3 linked regions of the Drosophila melanogaster genome follow. The protein of the gene in region 1 interacts with the protein of each later gene in a pairwise test. Each region holds a gene or a part of one and is shown in the gene's direction. Other genes may lie near its edges.

What was found.
Region 2: the proteins of CG5823 (region 1) and CG18810 interact in a two-hybrid assay, tested with the Drosophila melanogaster proteins (one large-scale study listed by BioGRID).
Region 3: the proteins of CG5823 (region 1) and EMC5 interact in a two-hybrid assay, tested with the Drosophila melanogaster proteins (one large-scale study listed by BioGRID).

The regions. Positions count from the first base shown.
Region 1 is NT_033777.3:17,531,616-17,536,995, reverse strand, and holds CG5823 (uncharacterized protein), read left to right. Parts: upstream 1-2,408; 5' UTR 2,409-2,877; intron 2,878-2,938; 5' UTR 2,939-3,072; coding exon 3,073-3,373; intron 3,374-3,665; coding exon 3,666-3,736; intron 3,737-3,796; coding exon 3,797-4,276; 3' UTR 4,277-4,671; downstream 4,672-5,380. Other genes in the region: P5cr-2 (Pyrroline-5-carboxylate reductase-like 2), read right to left, coding at 149-225, 298-963, 1,145-1,223.
Region 2 is NT_033779.5:20,646,744-20,650,884, forward strand, and holds CG18810 (uncharacterized protein), read left to right. Parts: upstream 1-2,168; 5' UTR 2,169-2,293; coding exon 2,294-3,196; 3' UTR 3,197-3,336; downstream 3,337-4,141. Other genes in the region: CG2608 (uncharacterized protein), read left to right, coding at 1-119; CG2611 (uncharacterized protein), read left to right, coding at 3,508-3,717, 3,794-3,982.
Region 3 is NT_033779.5:18,985,767-18,989,523, forward strand, and holds EMC5 (ER membrane protein complex subunit 5), read left to right. Parts: upstream 1-1,940; 5' UTR 1,941-2,022; coding exon 2,023-2,104; intron 2,105-2,169; coding exon 2,170-2,222; intron 2,223-2,290; coding exon 2,291-2,485; 3' UTR 2,486-2,527; downstream 2,528-3,757. Other genes in the region: Swip-1 (Swiprosin-1), read right to left, coding at 906-1,144; CG15170 (uncharacterized protein), read right to left, coding at 2,528-3,757.

The DNA.
Region 1 (5,380 bases):
GCACTATAGCACCAACATACATTTCCAAATTAAAAACATGTTTCTTCAAGAAGCAACAAAATTTAACGACTTCCTTTAACTACTATAACTTTAATAACAAAATTGACCCACCCCAATGTACGTATATGTATATGATAATCCTATGTGCCTACTTCGTCTTTCCCGAGATTTGCCGGCATCGCAGAGTCGCCTGTTCCACCGCTCCAGACACCGCAGCCCGAAAACCTGCAATCGACATCAAAGGTTGAAGTGGCGGCGATAAGCGAGTGCGTCATCGGCGTCATCATCCCAACTTACCTGACAGCTCGAGTTGTCTGAGTGCCGCTGCTGTCGATCCCGCCGGACTTGTGACCCCATCCTTGAGTTGTCCGGGATGCATACCACTGTCCCGCACCATGTGACCTGCGCCCAGGACTGTTTGCGATGCCAAACGATAGGCCAGATCCCTGGGCATGCCCATGTGAACGGCTCCATCCGCCAAGGCCTCAATCATCACGAATACATAGGCCGGTCCACTTCCGCTCAGAGCAGTAACCACATCCAACTGGGACTCATCCACCGGCTCACAAGTGCCCACGGACTGCAGCAGCTTCTGGGTAATATCCGCATCTGCATCTGTGGCCTTGGATCCGCGAACGAAAACCGAACAACCGGAACACACGACAGCCGGCAGATTGGGCATCACACGGATGACGCGAGCTTGTGGAGATAAACTGGACTCGATGGTGGACAAAGTGATGCCCATGGCCACGGAAAGGAATAGTTTGCCCGAGCTCAATGGCTGAATCTCCGACAAAACCGAGGGAACCACTTGGGGTTTCACGGACACGAAGACCACATCCGATTGCTGCACAACGGGTGCATTCTTGATCACTGTTTCCACTCCCAGGGATTGAAAGGACTGCAGGGAGAGCTTATCTGCCGGATGGACGCTGGCTATCAGGGTATTGGGTTTGGCCAGGCCTAGGAAATGAATTAGGAAATTTGGCGATTATATGATGAAATCCTTAACGTCCTATCCTTTTGTATCTAATTATAAGATGATGTTAGTTCATATATATATTGCATATCCAAGTGTGTCTTATCTATTGTCTAGCACAAAGTATGTCAGACTACAAATCTATTTTATTAGTGGCTTTCTCACCGGCCGCTAGGAAACCCTTAGCCAAAGCCTTGGCCATATTCCCGCCTCCCAGGAATCCGATCTTTCCGATTGCCGACATTAGTTAATGGGTTAAAAAGTCCGCGGACTGTGAGTACTGAACTTTCTGCTGGTGGAACGGCAACTGTGCGCCCGCCGCCGGCGTTGACCAAAAACAGACGCGAGGATTGATAAGAAATCTTGCCCGGCCAACCCCCTCCCAATCCCCTGCGTTGAGGGAACAACACACCCAGCGATCTGAGCTTATCATTGAGGTTCCTATGTGTGGGTTCGGCAATCGACAGCGGGGCAAAATAATAATAAATACTAAGAACTTTTCACACATTGTAAATAAAGAAAACATTAAACTATTAATAGTGCTGTTTTACAATCGAATTATATTTGAATAAAAATAGTCATTAAAATCCACTTAAGATAGAGACAAATTTTTAATAGATCATAAATTACAACCCATTATTTAAAGTGAAGTTATTATGATTTCAGCTTATATAACAATCAATTATAATATTGATTGATAATATTGATTATATATAATATGTAGTTTAAAATACAGTTCAAGTGCCGCGATTGCTAATATTTTGCCCGCCGTTGTATTTCCTTATCATTTAGAACAACTGTCATCCGCAACTCATTCACCCATTAATCGGCGTGACGAAGTCCAAATTAATGCGAGATGCCGATGCCCTGTAATCCCTGTAATCGTGCGTTGATCCACTTTCGTGTTTTGGATTCCATTTCTATAAATTTCTATATAGCTGTACTCTTTGGCAATCCTTACTTACCAAGTTTCAAAAACATTCCGCACTTTAAGAGATAACAATCGTTATCAATGTGAGCGTGATAACAGTAGAGGCGATATACACATGCTTATTTGTAAAGGGCTACATTAGAAAACCAAAGTATTTACTTTGTATATTACAAAATATTGCCATAGGGATTTTGGGACATACCCGGGTATACTAGATACGTTGGAAAGTAGATACCGCCTAGTAAGCAATTTTCGAAAAGAGTTCTTTCTTCTTTTTATCATATCTCGCATTAAGTAACGGGTATTTGATAGTCCAGCAAATCGGCTAAAACTAAAAGATCTATATTTACTGTTTTCAAAGAATTGCACAGATTTGAGAGTCAGTTAATTAGCGGATACATACACCACTCCATCCAATTTTCTCACCGTATGCAGCAAAGTTTCCCTCCTTCACCACGTGGTGAGGAAGCCAACATAGACTCTGGTAACACTAAACTGGAGATGAAACTTACTTCCGCACACGGTACCACTAAACTCTTCATGCCAAAATAAAAGATTAAATTAAGATATTGCCAGCTCCAAACCCGGATATATAACCCCACAAGTGATTAATACGAATTAGGGGCATCCACTGTAGCGGAGTAAGCTCGTGATACTACCAAAATTTACCAAAGTCAAGCCCTAGTTGTCCCCTACACGTGTGTGAGTGTGTGTGTGCGGGTGTCGGTCGTGTGCGCCTGTATATGTGCGTTGTTTTCTCACTCAATTTCATTGCAATTTAAAAAAAAATCAACAAAAACGCAGTAACAGCAGCAACAACAATTAGAAAACGCACTTGTTACCGAGGTTGGCTGCCAGTACTAGAAAAGCAAACAATAAACAACCGAGCTGGCGAGACTGAAATCCATCGCATGATAAACACACCGAACAAGAATCTTCGACAGCTTCGAAATTCTGGAGAAGGACGGTACGTATTGGTATTTATGCGACCAGATACGAGTATAATTGATTTGCAAATTATTCCACAGGGCCACGTCGCTATCTTATCTGCTACAGTGAGAGAAAAACCAGTAGGCCAGTCGTGTTCGATCATAGTTTAGGTTTTCAAACTTGGGCGGTAGTAATTAAGTTCGTTAAAAATTAGCAAAACCAAAACAACACCATGTCCTCGTCGTCGACGTCCGGCGGCCGGAAGCAACCCACTGCTGTGTCGCGCATGAAGCAGGACTATATGCGCCTCAAGCGGGATCCCCTGCCGTACATAACCGCCGAGCCGCTGCCCAACAACATCCTCGAGTGGCACTACTGCGTCAAGGGGCCGGAGGACTCGCCCTACTACGGCGGCTACTACCACGGCACCCTGCTCTTTCCGCGCGAGTTCCCATTCAAGCCGCCATCCATCTACATGCTGACGCCGAACGGTCGCTTCAAGACCAACACCAGACTGTGTTTGAGTATATCAGGTATGTGTCAGTTCCATATCCGTAGGAGTCCGAATCCACAGCTAGAAATAAAGCGGATTGGTTGTCACAGTAGTAGAACATTAAAGAATGGGTAGTAACTACAGGCTTAAAGACTACCATTAACTTTGAACGCTGAATAGTTTTAGTTATGTTTGACGAAGCCGATGGACTTTGTGGCTTAGTCAAACATGTTTTTTGCGACCTTTCAAATAGATATTCGTGTATCTGTTTAGATCTGTTTAGATTCTATTGTTCCAAACATATAACTTATCAACCCTATTGGGATTTTCAGATTTTCATCCGGACACTTGGAACCCGACTTGGTGCGTAGGCACCATTCTCACTGGACTGCTGAGCTTCATGGTGAGTTATTACGAATACATGATCATACGTTTGAGTAAGCCAATCTTAAATCCTTCACAGCTGGAGAGCACACCCACACTCGGATCCATCGAATCATCGAACTATGACAAGCAAATGTTTGCTCAAAAATCACTAGCATTTAACCTGCGCAACACCAACTTCTGTGAGCTGTTTCCGGAGATAGTCGAAGAGATCAAGCAGCGGCTGCGAGGAACACAGGCGGCAGCTGCTGTGGACGGACCCGCTGCCAATGGAGTAAAGCGTTCCAACGGACTGGCCAACGGAGCGAGCCTGGCATCTGCGGATGGCAATCTGGCGGTGGGCGGCTTGGCCAATCCACTGAATGCAGCGGACGCAATCGATGGCGGGGCGGCGGGTCAGGCGGATTTGGCCAGCGGCGGAGGAGCGGCGGTCCAGAATAGTGCACGGAACTCCTATCTAAACTGGCAGTCCGTCTATTCAAACCTGGTGATCATTATCTGCTTTGCAATTTTTGCCCTCATTGTTAATTACGTGATCAAGAACCTGAATCAGGAATAGAATTACCGACACAGCCTCTATATTTATATAAAGAAATAGTTACACATCCGTATGCGTGTGCATATCTAATCTAGTTTACTTTAAAATAGTCTTCGTGGATTGTATACCGCTTGAGAAGTATTTACATACCCCGCTTGATTCAAAAACAACCGCACTAGACCCCCGGCATCCATTCCCACGATTCCCACGATTGCTGACTTAGTCTGAAAATTATCGGCAGCAAAATTTGAAAACACAAGAACACACAATTCAGAACTCGACTTGTGAAATTTAAAAATTGTTTTGTTATGTATTCATTACTATTAACGCCTAGTTTAATGCAACGTGAATAATGCCAGAAATATGTTTGTAAATGAATAAAGAAGCCCGGCAACATATGAGCTCGTGTACAAATTAACCAATATATGTGTGCGTTTCTTGATTATTAAATGGATCTTCATTTTCAGTCGCCACAAATTGCTTGGATGTTGGATGATTCAACTTGTATAATAAGTTGTAATTTGTAGTTGGCTTTTCGCTGGCTAAGCGGCTTAAGTATGAAGCAAAGTCCGCTGGCAGTCGGCAATAATTTTTCCTCACACTAGCTAAGTACGGCCAAATCCAATAAACTGATGCCTGGCTGGGCAACAATGTTACACATTTAAACCGCTTACATTGTTGGCCATCTTAAGCCGAAATTACACACATGACGCTTATTACTCCTGGAAGTGGGCGTTGCGGACCAAGTTCGATGGTTACAGTGAATTGTGGTTACCACAATCTATGTCTTTGAAGTAAAAACAATCTATGTCTTTGAAGTAAAAACTACAGAATAATACTATGATTTTTTTTTAAAACTATCTATAACCAGTATATATATTTATACGATATATTCGCTTTGTAGGAATATTTTATAGATTTAAAGTCGTTTTAATAGTTTTCCAGGAAAATAAAATACTTGCTGAACAATAACAGATTTATAGAGAAGAGAGTTTAGAATTATTAGAAAATTCGGGAAAAGAAAATCCGATTACCCAGCAGACGCGGCAAACTCCTTTAAAATAAAAGGACGCAGCGACGACTTTGTTTTGCACAGAAAGTTTTTTTGGCCAGACGCTGAAGTTG
Region 2 (4,141 bases), on another chromosome or scaffold:
CCATCGAACAAACTTTGGCCGACATCCAGGCCAAAAAGCGTCTGCGATTGGCTCAGCAGCAGGAGCTGGAGCAAGAGCAGCAAGCGCAAGAGGCAACCACATCCACAGAGGACCCATGAGTCGCCTGTGACCCAATTAGTATACAGATAGCTCACTTAATGCAAGACTGTCGCAACCAAAAAAAAGGATTATACTTCTTAAATCAGAATCAGAGAATCAGACATGACATGCTCGTCTTGTTCGCAAACTCCTGCTCGATAACATCGACAATATTTGACAAAACAGAGCAGTAATCATCTTCAGGGAGCCAAAGATTTTTAAATTTATAGTATTCATACTATGTTTTTGCCCACATTAATCGTATTTGGTAATAGGCTTGATACTAATTTTTATCTTAGGTTAGCCCCATTAAATTAAATGCCCTTTTTTTTTGAGTAATGACAGCCTTGTATCGAGTGAGATTAGTTTTGTTGATTCAGATTAGTCACATGAAAGGTCTCTGACTGCCATGTAAATCATAAGTAATAAGCAATTTCATTTGTTGGCCAATTAAGATCCGAAAGTTGTACATGTTTTAAGCAAGTTATGTGTCCGTAGCAGAGTCCGAATCGCAATATCTATTTATATAATAAAAACCTAAAAAAAAAAACGTCGCAAGGTTCAAAAAAATCTTAAAAACGGGGCGCCACTCAAAAATCACCAAAAAATACAGAATATTTCCATTCCAGTATTTTCTTGTTCGTCACTTCTTTCTTGTCACGGTGGTGAAGAAGCAGTCACAGTTTAATGCCAGCCGAAAGCCGCACCACGTGTTGCCCATTCCAAGAAAAATAAACTAAATTAGCACGATGGCTAATAGAAAACGCAACAAAATTTTGCTTAATACAATAGAGAAAGATATGTCAAATAGCTGAAAGTTATATGGTAACTAAAAGATGTGCGGATCACGAGAAACGAGCAATTCACTTTGACAGCCTGGCAGCTGTGACCCAAAGAGTCTCACTTTGAGACTTCTTGGGACCAACCAGCATGGGAAGTTTACGCGGTAAGAATAATACAGAAAGAAGATCTCCACAACCATGATGAAATCGTTAGATGGGGACAACTGATTACTGTGACTGATTCATCTCGATAGTAGATCTGATTTTAAAAATGTTGCTAGCCTACGTGCTTTCATGTTCAACAGCACTAAAATAACTCGTTCTTTTTATATAATGCAGAAAACTGATGTTTCTGACTGAAAACCGACGAAAGAATGGTTTCCACACTTGTAAGTATAATGATTGCTAAAGATTTATGATTTTTTTTTTTTTGTGATGAAATCGTTAGATAGGGACGTCTGATATCTGTGACTGATTTATCTCGATAGTAGATCTGATTTTAAAAATACTGTTAGCTTGCGTGATTTTATGTTCAACAACACTACAATAACTCTTTCTTTTTAGATAATGCAGAAAAACTGATGTTTCTGACTGAAAACCGACGAAAGAATGATTTCCACACTTGTAAGTATAATGATTGCTAAAGATTTATGATTTTTTTTTGTGATGAAATCGTTAGATAGGGACGTCTGATATCTGTGACTGATTTATCTCGATAGTAGATCTGATTTTTAAAATATTGTTAGCTTGCGTGATTTTATGTTCAACAACACTACAATAACTCTTTCTTTTTAGATAATGCTGAAACCCGAATTTCTCTGACAGAAACCCTACGTAAGAAGGATTTCCACACTTGTAAGTTTAAAGTGTTATGTGTACGTATATATAAATATGGGAGTATTTGAGGCCAAGTCTTAAGCTATTGTCTAGGAAACAAAATACCAAATACAAAAACGAAACTAAGGGTATTCTTTAAAACAACATGAATTTTGTTTGTATTTATTAAATCTATGAAAATGATCCGTAAACAAAAGTAAAGAAAAATAATTTTGCACATATTTTTTTTAGGAAATCTTTAGAACTGTCTGTAAAAATATATATTTAGAGTAACCCCTGAATAATGATTAAATACTTATGCATAATTTTTATTTATTTTACAGGGCTCCCTTGCATGATGCCAGAAAAGTGGACGTAAAAAATCTAATAAAATTATATTTATAGAAACAGAATGCAGCTTGCCATAGTTTTATTTTTTAAATATTTTTGAGAGACGGTTGGGAAAAGGGAGAAAAAATATTGATACATCGTGTAGGCTGGAATAACTAATTCAAAGTCACACCAATACTTTTTCCAAACCAGTTTTGCAATCTGCAGTAAAGTTTTTACAAATTGATCAAATCACTTTCGTTATAATGAGGTTTCGGTCGCTGAAGAACATATGGCCAAAAGAGAAGTTGGAGCAATTCCTATTTTTGTTCATTTTATGTGGCTTGCCCGCCATATACTATGTTCTAATGGAGATAATTCTGCCGGAGTTGTCGGATTATTGGTCACCTGGTTACGTATTTCAGCTGCTGCTGGGACTGTTCCTCTTTTCGAATGTGATGTCCAACTATGTCATGTGCATCCTGGTGGACCCCAGCATCGATCCCAAGCTTATGAAGAATCAGTTGGTGCGCGGACAGCACAGTGAGGACTGGCACGAGTGCGACAAGTGCGGGATTCTTGCTCCACCCCGGTCACGTCACTGCAGGAAGTGTGGCGTCTGTGTCCTGATGCGAGATCATCACTGCTTCTTTACTGGTTGCTGCATCGGTCATGAGAACTATAGATACTTTTTCTATTTTCTTATCTACTTTTTTCTAAGCTGCATGATTTCACTAACGTCATCTTCGATATTTATTTACGTTCTGCATGGGGGCAGATACCAGCTCTTTATGCTGACACATCCCGCACCGAACTCTGCCTATTTTAACTCGCTTATTATCAGGATAATCTACTTTAAGTTGCCCGATATATACGAGCTGGTGTTCACTCTGGTATTCGTCCTGCTGTGGATCGGGGTATGCGTAGCTACCTATGTGGCTTATGATCAGTGGTCTCGTGGCTATTTTTGCTATGATTTTGAACTTCAAAACATTCCTTTTGACCGAAAACTGCGCCGAAACTTCAAGACGTTCTTGGGCAGGCGAATGAAGTGGACCTGGATCTCCGGATTTGTTCCCAGCCAGCTGGACCACGACGGATTTGATCTGGATCCCGACAACGAACGTGTGGCAGATTGGTGCTCAGAAACAACCATCAAGGATGGCTAAATAATTTTATGCATTCTCTGTGTTTTCCAAATTACCGGTGCGATGAAAAATTAAAAATTCGAATTCATTTGATTAGTTCAGGCATGCAAGAAAGCTTTCCAAATTAAAAAGTTAAATATTTAAGGATGTGTTATTATGCGATATGTGTATGTTTCGTTTTATTTGGTCTCTACTGTGCTTGCTGATTTTCCCCAGGTTGGCAGTCTCGTCAGCTGTTTTCCTGATAACATTGACTTGCCGCAAAATGCTTGTTTGTTTAGTCTGAAATTGGCATCTGGTCAAGATCAACTGCCAGTAGGTAGAGACCACATATGGAGCCCACCAATTCGGAGTCGCGGCACCGCCTAAATGGAGGGGGCAGGAGTTCCGCGCCAGCAGGCTCCGGAGAGTACATCAAGGTGGTGGAGTCCCAATGCGAGACCGATGGATTCGTTAATGAACAGTGGACGGAACCGGCGATGCCAGGTCCAGTGCCTTGGAAGACCATTATTATCATTCTTTTGCTGTTTATCGGTGGCATTGTGAGTAGTGATTACTGGTGCCCACACATACATGCACAGTTCCTTCGAACTTCTGATCTGATGTCTTTGTCTTCAGGTTTGCATCGCCTTTGCCACCTTAAACTGGGTGACGGACACGAGCCGGGAGCGATCGGATCGGGTGTGGGCGTTGGGTATCATCGGGGCACTGACCTTCATCCCGGGAAGCTACTATGTGTACGTGCTCTTCTGCATAATGCTCAACCGCAACGGATTCACCATGGACGAGATACGAAGACTCGGCTGAAAAGGAGAAACCAAAGACACCAAATGTTTCGTCAAATAGAGTTTATTGCTTTTACACTACAGTTATTCACACATTTCATTGGCATAATTTCTTTAGCAACAATCTTAATATGTAGTTCATTATGATACATGTGTATTGCCCCGGTAATTGTATAAAAAT
Region 3 (3,757 bases), on another chromosome or scaffold:
TTCGTTCGCAAGGTGGCCCATCTGACGACAGTTGGCTTTGTCGGGTGGTAATGCAAAACCGTAAACAAATACAAGGGAACCTCGATAACCGCTATGGGTGCTATTAAGTCTTAAGGTCGAGCATTAGAACCTTAGAGATAAATAAAGAATGTTTCAATGAATTACGAGTATTAACGTGGGATAAGCTTTTTCCTTGCCACTATAATCGAATGATGACTTTGAACGGAATTACCGATATTTAAGATTGGCTTTTGCTAACAGAAATTGCACTTAGGGGAGCTCGACTGTGGTGTGATAATTGAATCCGCCTGAAAGTGTTGGGGCAGAAAACCACTTTTGACTCATGATCCGCGCGACGGGAGCACGACTTGGGAATAAGCCAGTGACTGTGACAAAACTTCTCCGCAAGTACTTGTGAGTCATGCCCCATTGCCCAGGGGGGCAGGGGAGGGGTGGGTTGGCTGCAGGAGGGGCTGCAGTAAATGCAATTTAAATGATCATTAGGCGCATGAGTTTTATGTTGCCATTTAATGAGACGCAAATGCGGTGAGATGCCTGGGAAAGTGGCCGTTGCAGGTGAAAGGAGTGTAAAGGTTGGCGCAAATTGAAAGCCCTAAAATAGTTTTGCAAACTGATTTCTGTTTTTGAATTATCTTGTGTAATAGATATACATTTACAAACGTTTGTAATGTATACAAGTGTGTCTAGTACACTGTATTTATTTAATAATCTAGAGATGATCGTTACTTATCATAAACTATTATTATTGCAACGGATTTTGCTCAGGTGTTTTCAAAAACAATAAACAAAATGTTGGCTTCCTTTTCGCCATATTAATATAATTTATATTGCGCCTTAAAGTGGCTCTGGACAAAAGTAAATATTGCTCGGCGGCCTTCACTTACGTATTGAAGGTCTTCTGGTAGTCCTTGATCTGGTTACGGGAGAACTCGGGGAAGTCGGTGTAGACGTTGACCACTTTGTAGGTGCGACGCACCTCGATGCCCGCCTCCTGGGACTCCATGATCTCCTGGCGCCGATTGAGGATGTGCGTCAGCTCGGAGCTGTCCGTGTTGGTGGTGCTGCTGGGGCTGTCCACGCTGTCCTTGTTGGAGGCGGATGAGGCGTTCGAGGAAACGGACATTGTGTCGCTCCTTGTTGACTCGCTTTTTAGTGTGCTGGAATTTCCCTTTCTGCCCTTTTCTGCTGCCTTCTCACTCTCTCTTCCTTTTGGCACACCCACGCAAAAAGGACCGTAAAAGAGATGTCCGGATACACACACAAATGCGGCGATGCGCCAGGAAAACACACACGGACTCGTTGCACGTAAGCTTTTGTCGTGGGGAGTGGCCCTGAGTCCTTTTTTGGCTTTGAAAAAACAGTTGCAAGGTGCGTTTGAATTGCCGGTCTTTTTTTTTTTTTTTGCTGCAAATTGGCTTTCTTATTGGACAACTGGTGTTCCGCTTCGACCGCCGCGACTACCGAATCTTCTGAACGCTGAGAGACGAATGAAAGTGCGACCGTGACACGAGCGTTCAAATATACCAGCGGGCGCGGCGGCATTTTTCGAGTGACCGTGTGCTGACAAATACCAAAGTCAGCTGAATTTCGAGGCAATATATATACCTTACAATTTTTTTAATTCATTCTGTTACTAATAATGTATATAATCATTATTTAAAGCTAGCTGATGAACAGACGGTTTCAAATTTTACGAAAGTTTTTAACTTTCTTAAGCAAAATATGTAACCGAATATTTATTGTATGTTTATATAGTTATAATATAATTATATAATTAGTTTGATCACAAAATCAATCTTTGTATAATTTTAATGTTGTTCCCAATAAAATATTTAAATTTAAGATTCTTAAATATATTACGGCATATGAGGTATACAGACAACCCTAAACTATCGTCCAAAGCTCCCAGCCCTAGGTGTGCCCGCATTTTGATAGCAATTTAGCAAAATTTTGTAGAAAATTGTACCGACTGTGATTGTAATTCGTAATTGTTCAATAAAAATGGGCAGTAAACTGTTTAACAAACTCTTGCTAATTGCCGGATTTGCCAGCCTGGCACATGCTGCTTTTTCTGCTGCCCATCGTAAGTTTTCGTCACTGTTGTGGTAAATAAACTTTGGACCACTAAGTGCCGCATTTACTCCACAGATCGCACCTATTTGAGGCTGACGGAGCAGGAATGGAATAGCCTTCCATTGGACGTAGGTTTCGGTGCATTTAGGGTGCTTGCATGGTTACTCACGAAAAGTTTTCCTTTATCAATCCTTAGATTATCCTGCAGACCGTCATCAGTTTGGTGATTGTGATTTACAACATCATCGAGATCGTTGGCAACTTCAAGGAAATTCGCGCCACCGTGGACATGCAACAGAAAACTTGGGACACCTTGGGCAACTTCCCCTCGTTCTATTCCTTCAATCACCGTGGTCGTGCCTTAAATCCTGGATATACGCCCCCGGAATAAGAGACCTTTCTTTTAAGTTCTGCTATCCTTTTATTTATAGTCTCAGCAAGTTACAATATAGATAACGCTAAAGATCAACCAAACTCCGTAACCTGCATTCGAAAATTTGATGGATATTGCGGAACTCTTGCCTTGCAACAAGGACAATGCCTTGGCCTCCAGCTCATAGCTGGCTCTTAATTCCCGGCCAGGACTATTATTGCATGCCTGACTGTGACAAGTGCGACAACTGTCGAAGTGGTTACTCCTTAAGAGACATTCGTAGTATAGCTCGGGATTGGAACGACATCCTCTTACAATTTCTTTACTGTTGATGTCAAAGTACTCCAAGCAGGCCAATTCTTGATCCTCCGGCTCATTTGCTCGAGCCGGACAAGGCATAGCCGTTTGTCCCCTGGAGATCTCCTCGCAGTCCTGCACTCCCCTACACTGATGACACCAGAGGCGCTCCTCCGGAAATGATCCTTTGTTGCAGAAACTTCCTTCGCATAGTCGACAACTGGCCACATTTGCGGAAGCACAGCTGAAGTCCGATTTTTGGCAACCTCTCGCAGTGGTGGCGTTGTTAAAGGAAACAACCACACATGGTGCAGCCGGTTCATCGCATTCTTCAATGTAGATTTCGCCAGGACTTTCCCAATTTGCACAGCCTGCTCCCGCTTGATCCGTGCTGCATTGGTAGCACCGGGTGAAATCCTTACTATTACACCCAGCGCCTTCATCGCATTCATAGCACTTGGTGATTTGAGGATTTTCCGGCGGTGCTCCACAGCCTCGCTGAATACTCCAGTTGGAGTACTCACAGGAGAAACAGGAAGAGGCCTCAGCGGAGCTACAAGTGCTATTAGCTATAGCCGTAATATTTGTCCGGCAAAGTTCCTGATCCACGGAGTTGCATGTAAAACACTTCTGCTGCGTAATGCATCCTGCGTTGCAGTGGTCACTGGTATTACACTTTTCTAATTGCTCTACATACGGCTCCAAATCTGTTGGAATTTTAGTAGAACATCCTCTGACAACGCGGCTTAGTCTGCGAAAGCTGAAGCAGTACTTATCCTCTTGCTCACCCAACAGAACATCCTGCTGGCATTCCTCGTATAAGCTAACATTGCACCTGCCGGTGTTGACCTGAAAGAGATCTATCTTGCAACCCCGGCCGATTGCTGAATCGCAGGTGGCGCAGACTTGGGTCCAAGCTCCTTGCTCCTCATTGCAGCCATTGATCTCACACAGTTGGGCGGAAGTGGACAGCGTGTGATTCTGCTCGGAGGT